2 linked regions of the Tamandua tetradactyla genome follow. The protein of the gene in region 1 purifies or fractionates together with the protein of each later gene. This does not show direct contact. Links are inferred from orthologs where the notes say so. Each region holds a gene or a part of one and is shown on either strand. Other genes may lie near its edges.

What was found. Proteins that work in one complex are often made in the same cells at the same time.
Region 2: the proteins of ACBD6 (region 1) and NMT1 purify together in Homo sapiens (co-immunoprecipitation; 3 studies listed by BioGRID and IntAct, with this or other methods). This does not show direct contact. The link is inferred for Tamandua tetradactyla from reciprocal best matches to the Homo sapiens genes ACBD6 and NMT1.

The regions. Positions count from the first base shown.
Region 1 is NC_135330.1:35,326,230-35,333,542, reverse strand, and holds the start of ACBD6 (acyl-CoA-binding domain-containing protein 6), read left to right. Parts: upstream 1-4,218; 5' UTR 4,219-4,581; coding exon 4,582-4,806; intron 4,807-7,313. UniProt on the Homo sapiens protein: Binds long-chain acyl-coenzyme A molecules with a strong preference for unsaturated C18:1-CoA, lower affinity for unsaturated C20:4-CoA, and very weak affinity for saturated C16:0-CoA. Does not bind fatty acids. Plays a role in protein N-myristoylation.
Region 2 is NC_135332.1:22,391,064-22,398,450, forward strand, and holds the start of NMT1 (glycylpeptide N-tetradecanoyltransferase 1), read right to left. Parts: upstream 3,027-7,387; 5' UTR 2,739-3,026; coding exon 2,608-2,738; exon of another isoform or gene 2,523-2,607; intron 1-2,522.

The sequences.
Region 1 (7,313 bases):
AAAACTACTAGAGCTAATAAATGAGTACAGCAAAGTAGCAGGTTACAAGATCAACATTCAAAAATCTGTAGCATTTCTATACACTAGTAATGAACAAGCTGAGGGGGAAATCAAGAAACGAATCCCATTTACAATTGCAACTAAAAGAATAAAATACCTAGGAATAAATTTAACTAAAGAGACAAAAAACCTATATAAAGAAAACTACAAAAAACTGCTAAAAGAAATCACAGAAGACCTAAATAGATGGAAGGGCATACCGTGTTCATGGATTGGAAGACTAAATATAGTTAAGATGTCAATCCTACCTAAATTGATTTACAGATTCAATGCAATACCAATCAAAATCCCAACAACTTATTTTTCAGAAATAGAAAAACCAATAAGCAAATTTATCTGGAAGGGCAGGGTGCCCCGAATTGCTAAAAACATCTTGAGGAAAAAAAACGAAGCTGGAGGTCTCGCGCTGCCTGACTTGAAGGCATATTATGAAGCCACAGTGATCAAAACAGCATGGTATTGGCATAAAGATAGATATATCGACCAATGGAATCGAATAGAGTGCTCAGATATAGACCCTCTCATCTATGGACATTTGATCTTTGATAAGGCAGTCAAGCCAACTCACCTGGGACAGAGCAGTCTCTTCAATAAATGGTGCCTAGAGAACTGGATATCCATATGCAAAAGAATGAAAGAAGACCCATCTCTCACACCCTATACAAAAGTTAACTCAAAATGGATCAAAGATCTAAACATTATGTCTAAGACCATAAAACAGTTAGAGGAAAATGTTGGGAGATATCTTATGGATCTTACAACTGGAGGCGGTTTTATGGACCTTAAACCTAAAGCAAGAGCACTGAAGAAGGAAATAAATAAATGGGAACTCCTCAAAATTAAACACTTTTGCGCATCAAAGAACTTCATCAAGAAAGTAGAAAGACAGCCTTCACAATGGGAGACAATATTTGGAAATGATATATCAGATAAAGGTCTAGTATCCAGAATTTATAAAGAGATTGTTCATCTCAACAACAAAAAGACAGCCAACCCAATTACAAAATGGGAAAAAGACTTGAACAGACACCTCTCAGAAGAGGAAATACGGATGGCCAAGAGGCACATGAAGAGCTGCTCAATGTCCCTGGCCATTAGAGAAATGCAAATCAAAACCACAATGAGATATCATCTCACACCCACCAGAATGGCCATTATCAACAAAACAGAAAACGACAAGTGCTGGAGAGGATGCGGAGAAAGAGGCACACTTATCCACTGTTGGTGGGAATGTCAAAGGGTACAACCACTGTGGAAGGCAGTTTGGCGGTTCCTCAAAAAGCTGAATATAGAATTGCCATACGACCCAGCAATACCATTGCTAGGTATCTACTCAAAGGACTTAAGGGCAAAGACACAAACGGACATTTGCACACCAATGTTTATAGCAGCATTATTTACAATTGCAAAGAGATGGAAACAGCCAAAATCTCCATCAACAGAAGAGTGGCTAAACAAACTGTGGTATATACATACGATGGAATATTATGCAGCTTTAAGACAAGATAAACTTATGAACCATGTAATAACATGGATGGACCTAGAGAATATTATGCTGAGTGAATCCAGCCAAAAACTAAAGGACAAATACTGTATGGTCCCACTGATGTGAACGGACATTCGAGAATAAACTTGAAATATGTCATTGGTAACAGAGTTCAGCAGGAGTTAGAAACAGGGTAAGACAATGGGTAATTGAAGCTGAAGGGATACAGACTGTGCAACAGGACTAGATACAAAAACTCAAAAATGGACAGCACAATAATACCTAATTGTAAAGTAATCATGTTAAAACACTGAATGAAGCTGCATCTGAGCTATAGGTTTTTGTTTTGTTTTGTTTTGTTTTGTTTTGATTTTACTATTATTACTTTTATTTTTTTCTCTATATTAACATTCTATATGTTTTTCGGTTATGTTGCTAGTTCTTCTAAACCAATGCAAATGTAGTAAGAAATGATGATCATGCATCTATGTGATGATGTTAAGAATTAATGATTGCATGTGTAGAATGGTATGATCTCTAAATGTTGGGTTAATTTCTTTTTTCCGTTAATTAAAAAAAAAAAAAAGAGAAGGGATAATTGGAGATGAAGGGATACAGACTGTACAACGGGACTGGATATAAAAACTCAGAAATGGACAGCACAATACTACCCAATTGTAATGCAATTATGTTAAAACACTGAATGAAGCTGCATGTGAGGTATAGGTTTTTTGTTTTTGTTTTTTTTGTTTTTTTTTCTTTCTATTATTGCTTTAATTCTTATTCTGTTGTCTTTTTATTTCTTTTTCTAAATCGATGCAAATGTACTAAGAAATGATGAATATGCAACTATGTGATGTTATTAAGAATTACTGATTGTACATGTAGATTGGAATGATTTCTAATTGTTTTGTTAATTCTTTTTTTAATTAATAAAAAAAAATAGAGTGGTATACGGGTAAAAAATACAGCCTAGTATAAACTATGTATAATAGTACAATTATTCTTTCATCAATTGTAACAAGTTACCAGAGAGATGCAAAGTGTTAAAAGAGGGGGTGGTGGTGGTGGTACATGGGAATGTTGTATTTTGGATTTCTCTGTAAATTTACACTTCCCTAATTCAAAAAAATTAAAAACCTATGACACCTAATCATATACAATTGTATACAATCAAAGGTTCACAGTATCATAACATAATTGTGCATGTATCTCTGTGCTGGTTTGAAAGGAGTATGTACCCTAGAAAAGCTATGTTTTAATCCTGATCCATTTTGTGGAGGCAGGGGTTTCTTTTAATCCCTATGCAGCACTGTAGGTTGGAAACTTGATTAGATTATCTCTATGGAGATGTGACACACCCAACTGTGGGTATTAATCTTTGATTAAAGGGGTTGCGACTCCACCCATTTCAAATGGGTCTTATGATTAGTTTACTGGAATCCTTTAAAGAGGAAACATTTTGGAGAGAGCCATGAGAACCACAAGAGCCCAGTCAGCCAGAGACCTTTAAAGATGAAGAAGGAATATGCCTCTGGGGGAGCTTCATGAAACAAGAAGCCTATTTTTTGCTAGCCTGAAAGAAAGCTAGCAGATGTTGCCATGTTTGCTATGTGCCTTTCCAGTTGAGAAACCCTGAACTTCATCAGCATTTCTTGAGTGATGGTAACCTTTCAATGGTACCTTAATTTGGACATTTTTTATAGACTTGCTTTAATTTGGAGATTTTAAACTTGCAACTTAAAATCCCCTTTTTAAAAGCCATTCTGTTTCTGGCATATTGCATTCCTGCAGCTGGCAAACTAGAACAGTCCTCATGACCAATCCTTAATCATGTTTTTGTACAAACTTTATACGATATATTTTTTTGTCACCACCATTTAGGACGCAATAGGCACTCAGTCAATGTTTGTTACTGTATAATACTACAGTTTGCCTAGTTCTGTAAGTTTCTTTAGGGGCTATGCCATACTTTTTTTTTTTTTGGTTTCACTTCACTGAGTCCACAAAGCAGAGTGGCAAGCCTGAGTTATGAAGGAGAATCTTGCTAAGGGTGGGGGTCCTCAAAGGGTTTATTCTCAGAGCCCTGACAGATGAGAGGCTCCGCAGGTACAGAAAACGAGAGACAGGAAAAGAATGATTCCAATGACAGATACTTCCAGAGAGCCCATCTCCCCGTTTTTCATTCATTATTCAAGATAGAACAAAACTCTCAAGCAACCGATGAAGGCGAAGGGATCGGAGGCCTGTTTGAGGGATGGAGAGTGAGGCGGTGGTTGGGGCGGGGGTTGAGGAACAGCTGAACACAAATCCTACAGGCCGGAGTAAACGCAACCTTCGTCCGTAATTTCACATTTCCCGCGATTCCTCTCATATCGTTCATATCAAATAGACGGTCTCCTTCCGCCACCCCCCACTCCTGACAGCCTATCCCGAGGACGAGATCCAGACTGTGTGACCACTAATTACAACGGAAACATTAGCGGGAACAGAACGACTCAAGATAGTTTTTCCAAACAGCATCAAACCAGCGAGATCCCGCGAGTTTTGGGTAAAAAGAGCGTCCACCGTAAGGCCACCTACACTTCCCCCTACCGGCGCTGAGCAGGCTCAAACGGGTCGCGCGCCGCAGAAGCCGCGCGTTACCCCTAGCGCGAGCCTAATGCGCATGCTCAGGCGCGCACGCAGCCCCACCCCCGTCGGCCCGTCAGCCGGCCGCGTGCAGCCCTCTCCGCCACCCGTCGGGTCTGTGTTGCCTCTCGGCTTCCGCGCCGTTGGGGGAAGTGCTGACGAATCTGGGCGCACTGTTAGAGGGAAGAGCTGGGAGGCCGGATCTACTGGGGAGAGAGCGGCAGAGTGTAGCAGGGTAGAAGTGGGAGGGAGGCAGAGTTCCGTGACGGAGCGCGGCGTAGTAAGTCAGCTTGAGTCCGATTCAAGTTCAGGACCTAGACTGGCCATCCAGACCCGTTTGCCCGCGGTACACCTGGTTTGAGGAGGACAGACCGGACACAGAGAGACCGACCGAGCAAGGAGACATGGCCTCGTCATTTCTGCCCACGGGGGCCACCACAGGCAGCAGTAGCGGGGAGCTTAGCTCGGAGGAGGACTCCGGTGATGCCGGGGAGTCCCATCAGAACCCCGAGTTGAAGGCGTCCAGGAGCCTGACGGAGTTGTTCGAGAAGGCTGCAGTACATCTCCAAAGCCTGATTGAGGTGGCCAGCAGGGAGCAGCTCCTGTATCTGTATGCCAGGTACAAGCAGGTAAGGTCGCAGGGAAGGAGTGGATGTAGGAGAGACAAGGGGGCCTTGCCTTCTCTTTCCTCCAAAAACAGATAGCAAACGTACATGTTTAATGGCTAGGTATAATGAAGTTTGCCTGTGTTTTGTTTTGAATCATCTGCTGGGGGTTAGCATCATTCATGACATAGGAAGGTCCTGTCTGCTATCCTACGAGTGATATGCTGAACACTAAATGACAGTTTTTCTGTCCTCATTGAAACATTCAGTGACTTTGCACATAGCCTTTTACCAGCTTCATAGTCTTTACAGAATGAGGATGATAAAATAAGATTTATCATTCATTTTTTTAAACGGTTTTATTCACACACCTTACACTACACTAAATGTACAATGAATGGCTCTTGGTATAATCACAGTTATACATTCTCCACCACAATAGATACGAGAACATTCTCGTTTCTTCCGAAAAAGAAACTCATACCCCTTTTACCTCCCTATTTTTGACTTTTATCTTTGGTATAGTGCCTTTGTTATAATTAATGAAATAATATTGGTGTTATTAACTATAGACCTTAGTTTGCATTGATTGTATTTTCCCAAATATCACCCTATCATTAGCACCTTGAAATAATGACAAACGTTTTTCTAGCTTGAATCATTCACTCTTGCAAGGGGTCATATGGCAGTAAATATGATAAATGTTAATAAATATCTTTGAGATCCAAGAGAATAATATGATTGCAATAAATGGGATGATCAATAAACAAAATATTACTTTTGTGTTTTTTTAACCTTGTAGATCTCAGACTTATGTTTTGACTGAATATTTCAGTCTGTTACATATAATCATAAAATTTTATATAATCATAAAATTTTAGAGGTAACTTGTCCATGGTCATACAGATAAATCCGAACTCAATTGTAACTCCCAGCTCTCTCTGAAGTCCTGAACTTTAACTGGAAATTTGGATGTTAATGAGTTATTCATATAAGGTATGTTTAATTTATCATTCAAAGAGGCATTGTAAGGAATCAGAAGGAAAAATGGTTGATTTATCAATCAACAAATATTTGTTTAGTTAGTGCCTTTTCTGTACACAAAACTTAGGTGTTGTGCCTATAGGGTATGCTGAAAAGCAAAAGCATCATGATACTTGCCCTCAAGAGGTTTGCAATGTATTTGAGGAATCTAGATGTAAACGTGTAGAATATCTACAATTATCTGAAAAGTCTATTAAAATTTTCTCCTTTTTCTAACAACATGTCTGTGTGATGCCAGTTTTCTTCCTGTGCTTCAGTCAAAACAACATATTGCGACAGGTTCAGTGCAAATGTAGATTTGAGAATTCAACTGCCTTCTATTAAGCCAGACACGAAAGAGATTTACAAAATATAAAACAATGTTACTCTTCTTATAAAATTTTGTTTTTGAGTATATAGTTATTTTCCATAAAATTTTATGTTAACATATAATGTTTTCGTTTGCCAGTGCTTCCAGAATACAATACACCAGAGATGAACTGGCTTTTATAAAGGGGATTTATTTAGTTACAAATTTATAGTTCTTCGGAGTAAAGGCAGCTGGCTTTCCTCTGGCTTCCTGTGTCACTTGGGAAAGCATCCTGAGGCGTCTGCTGACCTTCCCTCCAGGCTTCTTGGTTCGAATGGCTTTCTCTGGGCAATTCCTTTCTGTATCTCCAACTTCTGGGTCTGAGCTGCTGAGCTATCCTCTGACTTTTTTCTTTTAAGCCTCCACCTAATTAAATTAAATGTTACTCATTGTGGGAGGTACTCTCTTAGACAATTGCAGATGTCATCAGCAATAGATAAATTTTACATGCTGATGATATAAGTCAACAGCCACAGAACTAGGCAGCATCACCTGGCCAAGTTGAGACCTGAACCTAACTACTACAAGTTTATTATTATTTTAAATTAATTAACCCACATTTTAAAATATGGTTTCTGTTTTAATTTCTAATATGGTAAATATCATTAGTGAAAACCCATATATAAAGAAAAGCTCTTTGGGGTCCTTAATTTCTGAGTGTTAAGGGACCTTGAGACCAAAAAGTTTGAGAACTGCTGCCTTAAAATTCTCTTTTCATGCCTAGAAGTGGCTCACTGTCGTCACGTGTATGTTCTAATCAGGGTAAAGGGGAAGGGGGAGATAAGCACCACCCCTTTTTAAAAAAACAGTTTTATTGAAATATATTCACTGGCCATATGATCCATCCAGAGTAACAATCATTAGTTCACAGTATCATCACATGGTTGGACATTTATCACCTAAATCAATTTTAGAGCATTTTCACTTTTAAGATGAAAGACTCCTTTATTTTTAGGGAAGGTAATTATATAATTTATATACATCTAATCTCCAGAACCTCGCAGAAGTTAAATAGACGCATGTGATGTTCTGCTGGATGGCCATGTGTCTAGCTGAAACTTCTATTACTATAGATGTAATGAAGAATAGGTGCTGGTATTCCTTTCTGCCACTGGCTGGTGTCTGAATAAAAAAACAA
Region 2 (7,387 bases), on another chromosome or scaffold:
TCCTCCACTTAATAAGGGGAAAATGAAAGTCCTCTAGCATTTGGGCTGTACGCTTTTAACATACTTGCCATTCTTTCACAGAGCAAATACTCATTAAGGCCCAGTGAGCACCACACACTTTGCAGAAAAAATCCGTTCTCATGTACCTTACAGTCAGGTGAGGCAGGAATTGGACACATTAAAAATGTTAATTAATTATTTCTACGATAAAAGCTATTCTGGCTTAGGGGCAGAATTTTCACCTGCCATGTCCAAGACCAGGGTTCAGTTCCCAGAGCCTGCCTATGCTATAAAAAAAAAAAAGCTATGAAAAATACAGTATGTGATAACAGCAGAGTGAGGTAGGGAAGGCTGGGGGAAGAGGATCAGAGATTTGAAAAAAGAACAGGAAGGGAAGGGCTGCATTCCAGACGTTATCTCACTTAATACCAGCAACAATTCTAGGTTAAATAATTTTCCCAAGGTCACAAGACTATTAAATGTCAGAACCAGGCTTTGAATCCAGGTGTGAATGACTTCAAAGTTCATGCTTTTCCCACAGTGCCATGTTGCATTTTCCCAAAACCTCTGCTGAAATTAATGGGAAAAAGTTGATTCTACCCTACATTCTATTATCTAAGTGCCAGAATTAGATTCTGTCCTCCAGCTAGGCTCTGTGTTTCACCCAACCACTCCAAGCTCATTTACATAGACCTCTAGATTTGGAATGCTAATAAACTTAAGTTGTTCAACCAGACCATAACCATGTACAAAACAGACAAACACACAAAAACACTCCAAAGTGTTTTTTTTAGGTTACTATAAAATAATTACTATTGTTGTACTATAAATAAAACGCAAAGCTTTATGCCAAACAGTTTTGTATGTGATTCATACATTATAAGGAACAAAACAAATTAAAGAGCCATAGACACTGGTCAGGGATACAGTCAAAAAAAAAAACGTAAACTATATAAAGAGAAAAGAAAAAAACATATTTTCAGTTCTGAAAAGACTTTCACTTTCAACAACTCTTCTGAAGAGGACTATACTTTCTCTTCTTTCTGTTCCTTCTTTTTCTTTTTTTCAGCTCTTCATTCTTAGGAATCTCAAACTTTAAAATGCAGCTTTTGCTATACTTGATCTGTTGTGAGTTACAGCAATTAAACAGTTTTATAAAACCAAATTTGAAAAACTGCCTATTTCTTTTGTTTTTCTCGTGAGTTTTTTTTTTTTTTGGTATGCTGTATGGTGGGGGTCACAGTTCATTCTTTCTCCATGTGAGTACCCCGAAATTGCAGGTCAAAAACAAACTTAACCATTTGTTGAATTTTTGTTTGTTTACTTACTTGTTTTTTTTTTTTGGGAAGTGCATGGGCTGGGACTCCAACTGGGTCTCCTGTACAGAAGGTGAGAATTCTACTACTGAACTACCCTTGCACACCCTTCTTGTGCTTTTTAATGCTGACTGAAAAACATAAAAGCTAAATATTTTAACCTGGGATTTAGTACAAGCAAATTAAAAACCATATAAACTACTTACATAATCCTTTGTTCTCCTGCTGCTACACAATAAAAGATTTTTAAAAAAAGAGCAGTTTATCCAAAGACCTCAATCCTCTACTCTACTAATCTCTAAGGCTACCACCAATACTGCCAATGACAAGCTGGCTATGAAAATCAAATTACGACAGGCCACAGACTCAGCAAGAATTATACATTCAACACAGTTACTCAGAGCTTCCAGTTAACAAAACATATATGTAAATACAGATGGACTAAGAAAGTTTGTATACAGCACGTGGGCGCCAGCCATGCCACCGTGACAACGTGAAGATGAATGATAGGGTGCGGCGCATAAGACTGAAAACGGATTTGGCAGGAAAAAAACCCTCAAGACTCAAATTCCTGATGCATTTCTCCTTAGGAAGACATAGTTTCTACTAGGTAAGATCCTGTAGTACAGGAAATGCAGTATCATACTCAATTTCCAAACGCTATTCAAGAAGCACTACCGCTCAATTTCTTTCAGCTTGAGGTTACTTCGCAAAGTTAACAGAGCAAAGATGCAAGACTTAATTATACAGTTCAGGAAATGTACGGATTATTTGGATCAACGGACACCGTGTAACTCAAAACAACCTGCAGTAATTACCTAGGGTTTATAAAGTGAGTTTATATTTTGACTTCTCCAGTACTGCTATTTCACAACATAATTATGGTTTGAATAGCCTGATGAATTTCCTCATTGAAGGTGAATGTAGGGAAATGTTTTATTTTTCGTTTATTGCTAACCATTTTGTTCACACAACACCTTTATACTGTACTGTCATTGGACGGCCCCGCATTGTGCTCTTTTCCCCGGACGAGCCTGAAGCAAACGAGTGGAACATTACACAGAAGAACTTTTACACAATAAAAGTACTGAATGTCTCCGGCCCTAATATACTGAACGCCCAATCCTGGTAAATGACAAAGACAGCAACCAATCACCAGACAGGACCCACTGTCTTAGCCAATAAGAATATAGGGGTGGGCCTTAGAATAAGCTGCCGGTGACTTCCCCGCACCCCAGAGAACCAGGTTGTGGGAGAGACTGGGTAGCAATTGGGCCGACTATCTTGTTACCCCCGGTTGTAGCTGTTGTCCTCCTCGTTTTCGCAATCACTGCAGTGCTCATGGCCGTTTCCGTTCCCTTCCATCATCTGCGGCAGCGGAGGTACCGGCGGCTTCACTGCTGTCTCACTCTCGTCCGCCATCTTGCGTTGCGAGAGCCGGGCTCCGCGCCTCGCTACATGGGGGCTTCCTATTGGATATGGGGAACTTGCGCTATCTTCTGGGTTTTGTAGTTTTTATGGCGAAGGATTGAGCCTCACCTAGGAGCGGCTCGTGCCCGGAAACCGGAAAGAAGTGGACTACAATACCCAGAAATTATGAGGGAGGGTGTCCTTTAGGTGGGAAGGGACAGCAACACGCGGAAGTCCTAGGCGTTCCGCCGAGCTTTGAGGAGAGACCCGCCCCGAGGTCGATGGAGTCCACCCTTCCCCAGGGTGGACGCGTGGCATGCTGGGAGTTGTAGTTCCATGCTCGATTAGGGGTTCTGGCGTGGAGGCTCCAAAATCCAAGTTAGAGCAAGTTTGACCTCAGCTTGCTCTAGCCAGTGCCTGGGCCTTAGGTGAACCGGTACTGGTTGCCGTTAAGGACCTTTAGCCATCCCGGGTAAGTGAGAGGGTCGGAGACCCTCGGGTGTGACCCGTCCGGAGCCAGAATGGCTTGGGCCTTTTCGGAGAGGCTTTTCTGCAAGAAGCCAGGTTGGCCCCTGGCCGCCTTACTCACTCGGGACTCTGGGCAGCCCCTGATCGTTGATAGTTCAAGTCCTCGTGAGAGGCTGTGGGTGGTGGGGTGTGGAGCCCTGAACCTGAGCCAAGAGACTTTACTGCTCAGTCAGGCCTCGTGGTTTCTTGTCCTCCAGGTACTGGTCTCCACTAAGCAGACGTTTCCCTTTCATTCTCCAGGAACAGCCATCCACTTTGCTGAGCATTTACATCCCAGGCCCTGTGATGAGGTATTTTGTACATTATCTCACTTAGTCTTCCCAGCAAACCTAGAATGTGGGTACTATTAGTATCCCCCCTCGTCACAGATGAAGAAATGAGGCCGAAAGAGGGTAGTAAATTCTAACCACGGCTAGTAAGTGGTAAAATCATAACACAAATCTGGATCTCTGTGCCCTAGGCCCTCTGAATTCTCTATCATTACAAAAATCCCATTGTCTGATACACATCTACCCCCAAAATCCGTTATTAGAAGGTAACTGCAACATTTTAATCTGCTTTTAGCCTTCAGTCCCTTGGGTCTCACTCTGTGACTGAGTAATATCTGAACTGGGTGCTGAGGAAAGAACCCAAAGACATGGTTCCCATTCAGGTTGGAGGTTGTGGGTGGTGAGGAAAGAACTAGTTCATCCTGCTAGAGAGCTCCCTGGGCAAAAACAGAAATGATCTTTGCCTTTGGGAAACTATGAATATGGGAAGAAGAGTAGAGTGGGAAGAAGTAGTTCCCATCTGACTCAGGGAAACAAAACACAAGTAAAATATAGAGCTAAATATAGTCAACTCTTAGTTTTTAAGTTGGTTGCAGGAGCAGAAGTAAATATGATTCAAAGCAGTTAGAAACTCCTGCTTAGGCTGAGAGCTGTCACCCACACTGACCTGGCCAGGGCTAGGACTTCTGTCAGCATGATACCTTATATGCAGCTGCAGAAGGAGGAGGCGGTCAAAGAAAATAATAAGCCTTAAAAGTATTAGATGGGGGCTGGCCACGGTGGCTCAGCAGGCAGAATTCTCGCCTGCCATCTCATAGACCCGGGTTCGATTCTCGGTGCCTGCCCATGCAAAAAAAAAGTGTTAGTTGGATTTAACTTTTCTAAGTATTTTGACCCTACTTTAGTTAATAATGACCTTGTGAAGTAGGTTGAGAAGGTGTGATTTACAGAAAATTGTGCTTGCAAAAAATTAATAAATAAAAAATCAAACAGTGATACTGAATTACAAAACTGGGACCAGAACTCTTATCTGGGTATCCTAATTCCCAATCCTTTATTTTCTTTTCCCACAGATAAGCAGAGGTCGAATGAAGACCAAAGAACAACCAGAGAAGAATAATATTAGGGAATGAAGGCCCTGATTTCTGTGAATGCTGCCATTCTTGCAGGTCAGAGCTTGAGTAAGACCTTGTACTTCACTGCAAACTGAGCCGGCTTTTACTGAAGCAGTTTTTCTAGGAAGTAAGCAGACAATGTGGCTGTCATGACCAAGTTCAGAATGCAACTACAAGTCCAAAGTTCTGGAATGCAGCACCTCCAGGAATTACAGAGAAAGAAGGGACCTGAGGGGCACTTTCTCTCTCTCTCTCCCTCTCTCTCTTTGTCTCTGTTTCTCTCAGTATTTTTCAAATCAGGATTCTCAGATTTTAAAAGATTCATGAGTTCTCTATAATAAAATTTAAACTTTATGTATTTAAAAAGAAACTGAACACATATAGTCACTTTACCACTTGATAACTGAGTATTGCCACATGGGATTTTAGTATTTAAGTTTTTTGGGGGGAAGAATTTGTCACATTTGTACAGAATGTTCACCCAAAGCAAAGTAATGGAGAGTTTCCTAAATTTTTTCTTGGGGTTCCAAGAGTTCTCATATTTTTTCCTCCTCACCCCCATAAGAGACAGCCTTTCACTTTCAGACAATTCTAATTGGTGGGAAGTTGGCCAAGTTCTGCCTTATGGGGTTATGCAGAAATGTACAGTCTTGTGTCCTTATAATTATTACATTTCCTACAATTAGTATTTGATTCCCTAAAATTCTTCTCTTTTCTGAGCTCCTCATCACAGTAGAATGGCAGGACCCTTTTGTCTAGCCCTACTGGCTCTTCCCACACACCTGTTCTGGCAGGGCATTACATGAAGTTAGTGGGTACAGCAGGCCTCCGAGGGTGGCTGAGTGACCTGCCTGTGGAACTCTGCAGCTTCTAGAATTTACTCCTATCACAGACACTTCCCTCAACCCCTCACAGATGGAGGCAGTAGAATGTGGTGGTTAGAGTCCAGGTTCCAGAATCTGACTCTGCTGGTTCCGGCTGAAACAGCCACAAGACTTAACCTGAAAGAAAAATAGGGGGAGATCCATCCGGGATTGCCCAAAACTGCTCCACAATGGGGCTGTTGAGATTCAGAAGAAACGCTGAATGCCAGGGTAATCAATCCTTAAGCATTTATTAGGAGAACTTACATACAGAGAGCTGCCAAACAGTGAGACTGGCAAATTCACTTGAGTATGTCTACGCCTATGGCAACAGCTGGGGGACAAAGGTGTCTGAATGCCAGAAGTTTGTGTGCCAGATTTGGGAAAACATCTGGGTATGTGCTCTTTTCTCAAAACAAAGTGTGCTTGGGGTGGGCAGTATTCAAGGTTGTGCTTGCAAAAAAAAAAAAAAAAAAAAAAATCGAACAGCCAAAGCTGGGCATGCTTCCAGGGAGTTCACAGAGTCAATGGTAAGAAAGAAGAATAAGGCCTTCAGGGTGGGGAAGCTTAAAAAGTAAGAGGGCAGAAGCAGGGACTCCTGCAATATAGTGACCCCTTATGTTTATACAATGCAATAACCAAATTATTTTCCTCCTTCCCCTTTCCCAAGGGGTCTGTATGTCTGGAGAGGTGATCTTGGGCCAGGTCACAAAAGGCCCTGCATTTCAGGCTAGGGAGTTTGGACTTTATCTTCCAGCTGGTGAGGACCTATGGGAGGTGGGTTTTGTTTTGTTTTGTTTTGTTTTGTTTTTTGGAAGTTTTATAATAAAGGATAAATATTAATGATATTTGTAAGGTTTGGTATGAATTTAATTGCATATTAATATTTATTTTAAATAAACATACTGAAAATAAATTTCATTATAAGAACAAGAGTCAAAGACCTGGGAGTCAAAGGAGTCATTTCTAATGGATTCAAGGAGTTGTTAATCAAACAAAATTTGAAACACCACCATGTTCCAGGCATCATGCCGTATGTTAAGGATACAGAGGTGACTGAGAAGCAGTATGTTGTCAGTATAAAGATCATATAAAAAGCTAGAGTCACCTCAAAGTTTACTATTACTCCCCTGAATAATGAAGGATATGTTTTGAGGCTGAGAAAGCCCTTGATACTACCAAGGTGAAGCTTCAGTGCAGAGAAGGTGCTTGGTTAAAGCCTCTGCAGCAGCCCTTCAACCTTTACCCCGGCAGAGTTGCAGCAACTATTGTCAGATTGGACCACAAGGATATCAATTTAAAAGACAAGGCCTCTCTCATAAACAAGAATCTGGGAAAATCAGAATCATCTGCAAAAATTTCCTAACAGCATGAGATTTTGTAGGTTTGTCCAGAGTGATGCCCCGATAAATCCCAGAGTGATGTAAACAGTGAATAAAAAGTTTTTGTGAAGTCCCCTTGGGGGAATGGTTAGAAAGGGGGAAAATTCAACTCCACCATCTGGAGAATTCCTGATATTCTCACAAGCAGTGGAAACAACCAAAGCAATAGGCCGAGCCCTCAATCTTGGGGTTTGTTCATATGAAACTTATCCCCGCAAAGGACAGGCTAAGCCTACTTAAAATTAGGCCAAGGAGTCACCCCCAGAGAACCTCTTTTGTTGCTCAGATGTGGCCTCTCTCTCTCAGCCAACATGACAAGCAAACTCACTGCCCTCCCCCTCTCTACATGGGACATGACTCCCAGGGGTATAAACCTTCCTGGCAACGTGGGACAGAAATCCTAGAATGAGCTGGGACTCAGCATCAAGGAAATGAGAAAACCTTCTAGACCAAAAGGGGGAAGAGAGAAATGAGACACAATAAAGTATCAATGGCAGAGAGATT